Linked DNA regions of Arabidopsis thaliana. The protein of the gene in region 2 interacts with the protein of the main gene of each other region in a pairwise test. Each region holds a gene or a part of one and is shown on either strand. Other genes may lie near its edges.

Region 1 (5,071 bases), on a different chromosome or scaffold from region 2:
ACATATCGTGGCAAAAAAAAAAAAAAAGTACAACACATAATTGGAGTTTAGATATACGAATATTCTTTTAATTGGTTCCATGTAAAAAACTTAATTCAAACGGATTCGATTGGTGACACAAAATGGTAAAAACAAAAAAGCGGAAAAAGTTTTAAAAATACTAGAATAGTTGAAAGAAGTAAAAAAAATACAGGTACAAAAAATACAATAGTACAAAAAAATACTAGAATAGTTGTAGATATACTTTTGTGTTTAGTAAACTATTAAAGCATTAAATATTGTACCATGCGATAGAGATTACCAATCAAAAGCCAAAGTGATGATGCAGAATAAGTTAATAACAATTACTTTGGGGTAAGAAGTTTAAATTACTCTTGAATGTAGAAGGCATGAAAGTGGCATGTTTGATGGATTGTGTTTGTCGAGCATTGTGCAGACGCAGCTCAATAACGTTAATTTATATACATTCAACTCTTGAAAGACATTGAAGCTGTATCTTTGGCTTTGACACACTAGCAGCTCTCGATGGAGTTATGCGTGATCTAGTTAGTTACTATATCTCATTCTCCATCAGATAAATGTAAGTTCGTATAATACTTTTTCGGAAGCTTCTAATGCATAAAGGAGCTGTATTTGGACAAATACTTTGAGAAATGTAAGAAGCGTACAATGTGATGAGAAAGAATGATACAAAGTGATTAGTGAGTACTATGGAGGGCCTTCACTCGGCTACTTTAGCCCAATAGACTAGTAATGACATATCAGTTGATCAAGGAGCAAAAGTTAATGAGGACACTGATATTGAACGAAACCACTTAAGAAAGGTTGTAATGAAAATCTAGAAAACCCAAACTGAGTTCAGACTCATCAATCTAAAGATTACATTGACCATTCAGCAACATTGACAACTTCTAAAGTTTTGTTTTAAGATCTTCTCTTCCGATCATCTTCACCATCGTCATCGGAGTCACCGCTCTCACGGAATCGTGGGTTCTTCTCCTGTTACAATCACACAAAATTCCATAGCAGACAGTGTTTTAGCATCAGATACTAAATATACTCGAAACGTTTAGTAAGGAAAAAGAAAAAGGCCTTGTTATTTACCGGTCTCATGTCACTATCAGTGTCTCTCCTAGACTCATGATCTGTGTTTCTTCTTGAGTTATCGCGGCCATAGCGATCATCGTCTCTTTGTCGTTTCCGATGGTAGTCTGCAAAAACATTAAAAACAGTGAATTGTGCTATTGTGGCTGAGGATTACACTATTACTACGCATTATGTCATTTGGGATAAAAATACCTCCTCTTCCATGGCGATTTTGTCCTCCTTGACCATAGTTTCCACCACCACGCCTTCCATTTCCATCTGTGATTAACATATGCAAAAAGCATTTAGGAATCTAGTGTTTTGCAGGCTCTATTTACGGATTCTCACATAATTTGACTTGAATAAGATACTTAACACTAGGACCATATCTTGTTTCACATTTTCACTATCTATTCGAAAGGGAACTGGGAAAACAATAAGCAGATGCTTTGCAAGATAAAGAGTCTTATTCTGAGCACTACAATTCTAAGTAAAGCAACTTAAGACTCGCATTCATGGTACTTTTAGTTCACCATTTGTCCACAGTATAGTGCGAAATCATGAAACCAGGAATAAGATCAAGTAAATTTGGTAGAAAGTTGAAAAAAACATACAATTCGTTGGCGCAGCTTGAGGATAAGCTCCCAATGAGCCAGTACCGTAATCCACGAGCTGCCTTTGTGCTTCGAGTTCCTTCTGAACTAATTTCCCATAACCACCTCTAGGTAATCAATGAGTTAAGGAAAAAACACATGGATTGGCGGGAAATTCATAACCGAGAAATCAATCTTTCCTACCACAAAACAGGTATACTAAACAAGAACAACAGAGTGCATAACTATGCGGACTAAAAGGATATCAGGATCGTAATCTGTACGGTATTCATCACGAACCTGTATGAAATTAGAAAACCATGATGACCTTTTAATTGTAAAGAAACGGTCAGGGAATTACAGAGAGGATGATGCATCTGATGAATACCTGGCCACCGCTTCTACCACGGCCCCATTGTCTTCCTTCTTGGAATCCCCAATCAAAATCCACACGAATAGGCCGGTCATCGAGAATAGTCCCACTTATATACTTGACTGCATCTTCAGTATCCTCTCTAGAGTAGAACCTGATAAAAACAAGACACAAAACCAAAACTCAGCAACCACCATAATGAAACTTACATATAAAACTGTTGAAGATGAAAGCTTACAGGACGAAACAAAAGCCACAAGGTGTTTTAGTGTTCTTATCCAAACCCATGATGATCTTTTTGATTTCTCCAGCTCTAGAGAAAAGCTCGTAAAGCTGTTCTTCAGTAGTGTAAAAAGACACATTGCCAATGTAAACCGTTGTAGATGCTCTTAGCGCTTCATCAAACTCCTCTTGTGTTCCTGAAAATCTTCTATCACGATAAGCTGATAGCTTTGCTTGCTCCTGACAATCAAAAACCCCAAACATGAAATCGTGAGACCAAACCCTAGACAACAACTTCAAAAATCAATTAGAATCGCTTCAGACCCATCAGATTCCAGACAACCCGGATACTAAATTCACTAAAAACATTAACGAATCTCGATTTTCTATGCTAGAAAAAGCAAAACCCAGAAATGGTTTCCGATAAAAATCTAAACTTTATGTACCTTGAACAAAGAAGCCATCGCTTCACGGTGAGAAGAAGTGAATCTGCGATGATGAGAGAGGAGGATAGCTTAAATTAGGTCTATGCGGGGTGAAAGAAGAAGAAGATGAGCGAGAAATCGAGAAGGAGAGACACTTACACTCGTCTTCTTCAAAAAGGGAACCCTAATTTCTAAAGCAGAAGCAGAACTGATAGAAGAAGGCAAGGACACTCCGGCGACTCTCGAGTATCCGGTTTCATGGCCCACCTTACGAAACCTTACAAAGTTACAATTAATTCACAAATATTATTGTTGGTATTAATTTAATATTAAAACAAATAAAAAACCCAAATTTTTTGCATCTAAAATGTTCAATCAAATAACAATTCCGGTTTGGTTTCGGTTCAATTATTTCGGTTTCGCTTTATTTGTTTAAACCATAAAACCAATTTGTAATTCAATTTAGTTAGGTCTCGACATAATAATCGAACCCTACGAACCAACCCAAACCCGACCGAAAACCCTGATCCAAATCCAAAAATTTCAAATATTCAACGGGTCCTAAACTTCAAAACCCGAAAAACTCTAACCCAAACCCGATCTGAACAAATATCCAAACATACCTCAAATATTTGATATATTATTTATATTCATACTTAAATACAGAAAATATTTGGATATTTGGATATTTTAGTTATTTTGTGTATTTTAGGTTACTTTGGATATATTAAAGTAAAACTATTCGTGTTGTTTTGAGAGTTTTTGAAATTTTCAAGTAATTTGATAAATTTACATACAAAATTTTGATATTTTAATATTTAAATAAACCTGAACTCGAACGGTTTAAAATTTTAAAATACCCGAACGGGTCTTAAACTTCTAAATCTGAAATACACAAACTCGAAATATTCGATCCGAATACTGAACGCCCTTTAGTTTTAATTTGGTTTAAATGATATTCCGGTTTGGTTTGTTGTGGTTGTTGGTTTTAATTTCACAGTTCAGCATTAGCAAACCTTAAATTTTATATTTTTAAACATCCTTTATTTCTAATTTCTAGATTTTTGCCTATGAAGATATCTTCAAAGTAATGTTTTAAGAAAATACCTCTTTAAGGACAAGAAAATCATATAAGGAACTTTGCTGAGGAGACATAGAAATAGTTATTTCTCGTTGTTGTAAGCGGTGGTTTAGGTGACTCATTTTCGAAGTTAAAGCTCTCGTTAAATCTGTGTTGAAGCTTCATAATCTACTATGGTGTTCCCTCCAGATCACTTTTTATTACTCCAATACTCATTTTTGAGAGATTCACTGAAGATACTCTAACATACATACGTGTATCTGTAACGTAACGGGATTCAAATACCATTTTTTCTCTTTTTTTGTGTTATGTTGTAGGATCAAAAAAATTGTGACTTTTGTGTGGATTAACATTTGACAATAACGTTAGACGTATCCATTATTCATGTGTTAAAGTAAAATACTTATTCAATAAAAGTTAATATAATTCTAAATTTGTTTTATTTATCGAGTTAAATGAGTTAACTATAACATATATTACATATATGAAATCCTCTACAGCTGTTACACAACAATGTTCATCAATATCCAATGCTGCTATTCTTCTGAAATCTGGACATCAATCGCAAAGAATGTGTACAAAGATAGATTTTCCACAAAATGGTCTGCTGTGGTGAATTACATATCTGATTCTCAGCCTGATCGCATCCAAAGTTTCTTATCCAGGTACACATTCCAAGTCTCTATTCATTCCATTTGGAGGGAGAGAAATTCTCGTCGTCACGGAGAGAAGTCACGTTCAGCTTCAAACCTCATCCGACAGATAGACAAGACTATTAGAAACCAGCTATCGACAATCAAAAAGAAAGGGGATCTTCGACTCGAGAAGGGGCTGCAAGTATGGTTTGACATGCGTCCATAGCATCCTCTAAGAAAGAAGACTCTGTTTTTGCTCTCTCAATTCTATTTACTCTGTTTTTGATCTAGCTCTATTTCTCTTATTATCAAAATATCAAAAAAGCTGATGTAAAAAGTATATTTTTTCTTTTAAATATAATTTGACATTTTATTCAAAAAAAAAAAAAAACAATGTTCATCAATAAAGTTGATTGTTGTTGATTTCTTAAAACAGGAAATCAACGAAATCTCCCAAAGTAAATAAAATTGTGTATCAACCTGTATGCCATGTATCTAAATAACAAATCAAAATCTTTTAGCAATAGATTCAAAAAAAAAGAAAAAACTTTTTGCAATATGATATGTCATATAATGATAATTAAGTTGATACAAATTGGATTCTTAAAATAAACTGGATTCTTAAGCTGCTAACCATTTATTAAAAAAAGATATTG
Region 2 (7,836 bases):
TATTTGCGTAGGCCACTCTGAGAAACGAGCTCCAGAAACAAGACTGGTGTTAAAAGTTTAAACTCTTGTTTTTTGACTCTTTTCAATTTCCTAATAACTTGATGTCAGAATCAGAATCTCATAACAAAAAACAAAAGAGACAGGTTTGATTGAGATTGAAAGAGGAAGATTAATGTAATGGGAATTGAAGTGCAGAAGATATGGCTTGGAGAAAGAGAGGATGCACATCTTCACCCGAGAACACTTCTGACTCCAACTTCTCCATGTGAGGCCATATCTACAAGAACATGGTGAAACAAGTCAATATTCAATCTACTAAAGCTCTTACAACAACATCCCAACTATTAAGTTATTTTTTACCTCGCTCGCATATTGCCTTGTAAATGCCGTGAGATAGCCAAGTGTTGATAAGCACCACTGTTCTCTCTCACCGACTTCGCAACTCTTCTTTGGGTTTCCATTCTCGCTGTCCACGTCCATCGCAGATGGCTTGTCATCTTCAGCACCTATAGATTTTAGATCCTGCACTGATCTCACTTTAGTTGGATCTGGGAGCCGTTCCTTCAGTACACCTAAGAAACTTTGGAACAGCAAGAGCAGTAAAACCTATGCACAAGTCAACTCAATTAGCTTTTAGTAGATAAAAGGAAATAATAAGATCATGTGCTGCATTAAACTAATATATAATACCTCGGTCTCAGAGAGAGCTCTGTTAAGAAGAGCCTCTTTTGCCTCTAGGGACTCCCGAAGAGATAACTCCGCTTCCCCTGTCTTCTCCACTGTTGATTTTAAACGCTTCATCTTCGCTGGATTCTCACCAAGAACGGGTTCACCTTCCACTAGGGAAAGTTTGCTCTCAGCAGCCTCCAACTCTACTCGTGCATTGGCTGAAGCTTTCTCAGCAACCAAAACATTTTTCGTAATGTTTGATATATCTTTCCTCAAATCAGAGATACGGTTATAAGTCTTGTTAAGAGCATTGCCAAGTATCTGCAGAGACAGAAACAGATTTACGAAGATAAACAAACTTGCTCTGCAGAGTGTAGAAAATAAATATACTTCTGTTAAAACGCAACTGACCTCCCATGGCTGATCAGACACATGAAACTGATCAACATTTTCTGGAGAGAACACCCATCTAACAATTGCCTGATTAGATACTAGTCTATAACCCATCATCCTATCAATTGCCACCGCCGTCATTTGTACATTGTTTTTCCAGTATGTACTCACTTGAGATAATAGCATCACCTGCTTATCGTTATCAGGACAAAGCTTTGAAAATACTTGGCCATATCGCTCCAGGACAGTGACCAAATGAGTGAAACTTTTTGATCCGATGTCAAGTAAGGTCTGTACAACTATTGTAAGAGTAACTTCAAAACCATGAACTGGATATATCGTTTCTTCAATCCACACTATCATGTCACGTGCGGTTTGTTTTTCCTTGACCTTCCTGCTCAATTCGGCTGACAATTGCTGTTCTTCTGTTTTCTCTTTACCTTCTTCCAAGGAATACATAAAATTCGGACCAGCTTTTGGAGGAAGTAATTCTTCTAGGGCAGTCGCATTCTCAATGCTCTGTTAGACACACATAGAAAAAACAATATAGCCTGAGGAAGGATATCTGATGCTTAAGTTTGGAATGATATATCCATGTGGATAACAAGATGAAACATTGATCCCCCACAAAATGGAATAAGACAAATAACCCTAGGCTAAGAGAAAAGTATATCTGATGCTTAAGTTTGGCAGCTATTAGGATATCTGACGATCTGTTACCTGCTTAATTTTATCCCAGTAAGACAAGCGTACTTCTCTTTGCAAAATCTCCTGAACAAATACACGCTTAGGGGCCCACTTGGGAAGATCCAACACAAAAGCCCACTCTTCCCACGGCCAGATGAATTGGAAGTTGGATCTGTTAAGCATGGAGTTATCAACATGAGAGTAGAGAGCAAAACGAAATACGTAATCAACTTCATGTGATGAATAACATATTTCTCAATTAATCGAGAAAGTAAGACTCAAACACGACCACTGTATCATGTAAACGAATCGTCAGTAATGCTGACTGAAAATCCATATTTTATGTTTCAATAATCCATATTTTATAAGCTAGGTAACTTTCTAACATATATGGAACATTCACCAAACATTCGACAATAAAGCACCTTTTCCAGATTACAAAAAATCAAGAGGTAAGAAATATGAAATTATATACTTACAAGTGGTGAGAAAACCAGAGGATAAGACGCGTCCTGGATTCCATGTCTAAGTCGGATATTTTCTCAAATAGTGCACGAACAGCGCCAGCAACAACAGCAGGAAAGGCACCCGGAAGAGCCTAAATTAATTGAATATTTGGAATCAGGTTGAAAAAAGAAATAACAGCAGGGATTTAAAAACCATCGGATGAACAGTATAATCCTTTGTACCTTACAAAGATCCATAATCACGAGTGTATAATAAAGAGTCTTGAATGGTGGCTGGGGTAGCAGCAGTATCTGAAAAACAGTAGATACAATTGTTATATTTAAAAATCACAGATCTTGGAATTAATTGGTATAATCTGCCAGAAACGTATGCTTTTATATTACAACGTGAATACTCACTAGAGAGATAATCCCAAAATTTATACAACAGAAGTTACCTGAGAAAATAGTGTCTCTGCCATAAGATACTCGTACCGAAATGTAACAGGAAGATTAGCCATGTAGGATGCACACTCCTTCCGACTAGCTTTGCAATAAATTAATTAGTGAAACAAAATTCTATATAATTTAAGAAGGCAAACAAAATTTAGTAACCAGAAAGAAAGAGACTTAGCATAAGCTAAGATGTTGATTAGAAAACATGTATATGCTAGGCAAGTCTACAACCATAATAATGACTTAAATAAGTATATGCTAGGTTCAACTAGATACTCAACGCAAAAACACTAGCCCTTAGTAGTAGCCAATTAGTCGCCCAGCTGAATCAGTGACCATATTATTCAAAGAGTAAGTCATGAACTTAGATTAATACACCATACTCTAAGGTTAATAATTTAGAAAACACGTGACTAATTTGCTATGGTTGGGGGACAAAAACCAAGATCTACACCAAAACCAGCATGAATGGACGACCACTGTGCAAGAAAAATATAGAAGAAACATACAAAAACGTCAAAAGAACACAAGCTTTGGGAAAATACACACCATCCATTCAAATAGAAGAGCACATCCAGCAAATACTCCTCCACGACAAAACGATCAATTGGTTGTACATCCTGCGAGTTTGATAGTTACAGAATCAGAAGAAAGGGTAGACAAAGAAAAGGAATACAAAAGGACACCATATAACCCATATATCAATCTACAAATATAATAGGTTAGAAAAAAGAAAAATGTTGACGACTGAAAAGGTAGCAAGTATAATAAGCTTCCATTAGCATGAAATATGTCCTATTCAGATAAACAATGACATCAAAAACCAGAATATTACCTCCATTTTATTAGCTGGAAATATATTCAACCTACGAATTCTCTGGGGATATCTCGTCAATGCATCATGCTTTTGCTTGCCACTGTATGCCCTCGAATGATCAGAAGGTGGACTCGGTTGTTCCATACATTTAATGGGACGTAGCTCATGAAACTTTCCAGCAACGAGTTGAGCTTCAAACGAGAGATGAGGCCTAGGTACTAGCACATTGAATATGCATGAAATTGTCAATTGTAATATACAACTAATATCTCTAGTCATATGAACTGATCAATTTGTAAGTCAAACAAGGTAGATAAGGATATTAAAAGAGAGGGTTCGTAGAAGATTGCAATCTTGTAATACAAAGAGATATGAGAAGTTGACAAAATAAGCATACCGCTTTCAAGTTTCCATCCATTGGAAGCCAGAGACTGAATTCGATCCAATAGATCCTCCACGAAATCCTAACGAGACACAAATGAGAAAGACGAATGACGCAGACCAAAAGTTATCACACCATGATACAAAATTCAACAGATATCTATCTCAAACAAAAGCAGAAATGAAACGTCACATCCATGCATCTTATTTATACATTTGCCAAGACATCTACCGAAACAAAATCAGAGGGGCAGCTAACACAAAGCAAATACAACAACTTCAAGAATTAAACACTAAAAGGCAAACCTTCTCTGCAAGGCTGCTTTCAAATTCTCCGTTGTGAAAAAAGTTTAACCCAGAGGTGGAAGAATTCTTTCGGATGCTCAAATAAGCTTGTATCCCAACTAACACTCTTTCAATCTCATCAGGAACTTGCTGCAAACCAAAGGGAAATTCAGCGGCCATACAAGTTAAGATAATAGATATGAAAGCAGACTAACAAAGTTGGTTGCAGATCCAACAAGGATGACATCATTATAAAATTGGAAACGCATATCCAGTATTCTAATAGCCTTCAATGTAAATAATTTCTAGAATGTATTTAGTCCAAGAGCAGTACCTCAGCGAGTTCTGATCCTCCCCACGGGAGGCTGGACAAGATGCATATAACGTAAAAGTCAGCTTGTGGCTGCCATGATGGATTTCCTTTCTCTTCATCCACAGTAGTGGCAGCAGATGATAGCAATGTTTCGAAGACGACAATCAAAGAAGCAGGTTGAATAACCTTACTGCACAACTAAAGAACCCAACTAAAACATGTTAGAAAATAGACAAAACATCTCAAAATTTTCACAAATACTGTTCTATATACTTCGCACTTTTATTTTTTAGACGCTTTCTGTGTATTAGAAACATGAACTAACATATTAAATAGACGAAGCAACCATGAAACATGATTAGCAACCATACCAGGGAAGTCATAAAGCGAAGCAATATACGGATACTGTTGCAGTTGCCAGAATCTAAAGCGACCTGGCATGTTTGACCAAGAAAAACAGTCACATTAGAAACAAAAGTAACTGAGAAAACTTATGTTATCAATTTATCCTTGGCCTTTGATGTACAGATTAGATTATTCACCTGGAAATTAGCGTGGACACTTTCTACTAGCTTCTGGACAAAATCTTCATTCTCCAAGTTCAACAAACCAATCTTAAACATGTGGAAAGACATCCATCAAACTTCGAAGTATGTGTATCAGATTAAATCGAACTAATTTATAACAGGGAACAGGGTATCTCAGTTCAAAAATAGATCCAAATGCTACTTACACAGATAAGAATTATACACAGAAAATATTCAAGCATTCTTTATTACTCAGAAGTTAGCAAATATTGATGAATACTATGAATAAATAGATTCCTACAACATGTTATATATGATATAATAGACACAAAATGATCCACCTTAAGGGCATTTCCACTATTATTTGTGTTTCTGAAGTGTTCATTTGTTTCAAGTTAAATGCCTTCCGTTATTGCTTCGAGCTAATTATTCTTCGATAAGAATCAGTTCACAGATACCATAACATACTCAATCAAAACCTCCACATATATAACACATCTAAATGCAAGCCCAACATCCAACACATACCCAGAAATGAAAAAGCCAAGGTAACTAGTTTATAAGAGACTTACCAAAGTCCCATACAAAGGAATCTTATGAGGCAATTGTTCAGCACATTGTAGTAGAAACTGTTAAGACGAAAACAAAAATAATGAGAACACACAATAATAATATCCACAGAGATACATCACAACAGATCCTAAAATTGAAGGCTCGAAGTCACTTACAGGCAAAACTTGATCTCCAGAACGCTCGATTTCTCTACGAATGACACCGAAACAAGTCTCCTGTATATAGAGAATCGGAAAAGTTTTGAGTAGTGAGAAAATTAGGGTTTAAGAGCGAGGATGAATCGAGAGAGAGATACTGACGATGTGGTCTTTGTAGTCGGAGGAAGTGCCGTACTCAGGTCCCTTTTCGCCGATGCGAAGGAGAAGAGTTTTCCAATTGCTCATCTTCTTCCGAGAGGTTTTTCTTCAGTTCGTCTCTTTGTTGTTTCTCCTTTGGTATCAGTCACTCTGCCCTAGTTTTTTTTTTTATGTCCGTGTCTCGTCAAAACTAATTTTTTTTTTTTTTTCTCATAAGTGTTGTCATCTAAGAAAAGGAGTTCACAAAAAGAGTTTGACAAAAAGTTTTTCTCTCTCTTCTTTCTCTTAGTAGCTGAAACTAGCCGTTAAAACAATAGTCGTCCCAGTTAATTTGGAGCCTAAAGACTTTTCTCTCAGGTGTTCTATTCTGAACGGAGCTTCTACCAGAAATATTTACGTGTTCGGTCCGGTCTAAATTGTTGTTTTCTTCCTCGGATTTTTGGTAGTTCTGACTCTTTCTCTGTTACGAGAGTTTGCTTTGTGATTCTCAGTTCTGTGTTGGTTATCATCTGAATTACTCGGATTTCTTCACTGTTTTTTCTCTTGGAGTTTGTTTCCTGCAAATCAGGTTTGACGAGTTCGGGAAAGTTGTTTACTCTCTATCAGGATCTCATCATGGAGCTGGATAAAGCCATTCAGAATATGTCGATTTAAGACAATAAGCCTCTGATTCTTTCTGATCAACCGCGCTTTTGTTCAATTAACAGAAACAACTGTCGTTAGTTGGGTAGGTTTTTGAATCTAGAGAATCAAAGGATGTCTAATTGGATATTAGATATGCCACGAATTTGGAGAATTTCTTCTCGGGTTAGAGGTGTTGCTCTCTCAAAGGATCGATTCCAATTTTTCTTCAAATCTGAGGAAGATTTAGAAGAAATTATGAAAATTGGAGTTTGGACAGAAGATAAATTGGGGTGTAGTCATGGATAGATGGATTGAGAATCCTCCAATTGATTATCTGAATTTTCTTCCAATCTGGGGTCGAGTGAGGAATATTTCGGTGAACTATTATACTCAGGACACAATTAAAGAGATCACGAGCTGTATTGGGGAAGTGAAGGAGGTGGTGATGGACTCTGAAAAATCACAGTTTCAGGACTATGTTCGTGTTCGGGTTTTGTTTCATGTCGCCAATCCACTTCGTAACAATAAAGAGGTACAACTTCCATCTGGTGAAGTTGTCACAATTTCTTTTGACTATGAACAGATTAGAAAGAGATGTTTCTTGTGTCAAAGATTAACTCATGATAAAAATAGATGCCCATCCAAAGTCTTAGATTCCATCAAACATGATGTGAGATCATTACAAGAGAAAGGCAAACAGAAGAAGATGTTTTTACCGAGGCTGGCTGAGTTTCCCTTTCAGTCAATTGCTCCCAAAGGAAGGGTAGATGCTTTGCCAGCAAATCCTCTATCAGCTACTGTTGCAATTGATAGTCATCCAGAGAATACTTTGTTAGCTGAGATGCTAGATTTGGACATTAGTACTGGATTTACCACATGTGTTGGTGAGGCTAGTTCCTCCACTTCAGGGTTTAAACATCATATAATGCAGGATTTCACTCCTTTTCAGTTCAGGAAAGAAAAACTAGTTAATGAGCTGTCTCTGAAGAATAAGGTTATTCAGTCTCCTGCCTCTCCTCATTTTGAAAAGGTGTTCAAAAGGAAAAGAAAACCCTCAGACATTACAGAAGCTCAAAGTTTCAAGAGAGACAAGAATACGGTGGTTCCAAGTGAACCACCGTTGGATCAGTAAGGCGTCCTTAGTTGGAATTGTCAAGGCTTGAGGAATCCTTGGACAATTCGACACCTTAAGGAGATGAAAAAAAATCATATCTCGGACATTTTATTCTTCATGGAGACTATGAATCCTGACGAGTTTGTTTCAAAAGTTATTGATTGGCTTGGTTATAACTATATGTATACAATAGAACCTCAAGGGAGAAGTGGTGGCTTAGCAATCTTTTGGAAAAGCCATTTGGACATTGAGATT

The links.
Region 1: the proteins of ABH1 (region 2) and CBP20 interact in binary tests that used the Arabidopsis thaliana proteins (3 or more experiments, as listed by UniProt).

Annotation. Positions count from the first base shown.
Region 1 is NC_003076.8:17,801,138-17,806,208, forward strand, and holds CBP20 (CAP-binding protein 20), read right to left. Parts: upstream 3,067-5,071; 5' UTR 2,859-3,066; exon of another isoform or gene 2,764-2,858; 5' UTR 2,739-2,763; coding exon 2,721-2,738; intron 2,515-2,720; coding exon 2,291-2,514; intron 2,207-2,290; coding exon 2,068-2,206; intron 1,980-2,067; coding exon 1,946-1,979; intron 1,812-1,945; coding exon 1,701-1,811; intron 1,366-1,700; coding exon 1,300-1,365; intron 1,212-1,299; coding exon 1,105-1,211; intron 1,000-1,104; coding exon 925-999; 3' UTR 600-924; downstream 1-599.
Region 2 is NC_003071.7:5,635,147-5,642,982, reverse strand, and holds the start of ABH1 (ARM repeat superfamily protein), read right to left. Parts: upstream 6,100-7,836; 5' UTR 5,931-6,099; coding exon 5,847-5,930; intron 5,763-5,846; coding exon 5,703-5,762; intron 5,604-5,702; coding exon 5,547-5,603; intron 5,062-5,546; coding exon 4,990-5,061; intron 4,882-4,989; coding exon 4,819-4,881; intron 4,646-4,818; coding exon 4,469-4,645; intron 4,285-4,468; coding exon 4,156-4,284; intron 3,933-4,155; coding exon 3,866-3,932; intron 3,687-3,865; coding exon 3,487-3,686; intron 3,272-3,486; coding exon 3,201-3,271; intron 2,739-3,200; coding exon 2,654-2,738; intron 2,508-2,653; coding exon 2,439-2,507; intron 2,348-2,438; coding exon 2,229-2,347; intron 1,922-2,228; coding exon 1,783-1,921; intron 1,582-1,782; coding exon 1,081-1,581; intron 991-1,080; coding exon 691-990; intron 607-690; coding exon 361-606; intron 278-360; coding exon 170-277; 3' UTR 1-169. UniProt on the Arabidopsis thaliana protein: Component of the cap-binding complex (CBC), which binds cotranscriptionally to the 5'-cap of pre-mRNAs and is involved in various processes such as pre-mRNA splicing and RNA-mediated gene silencing (RNAi) by microRNAs (miRNAs).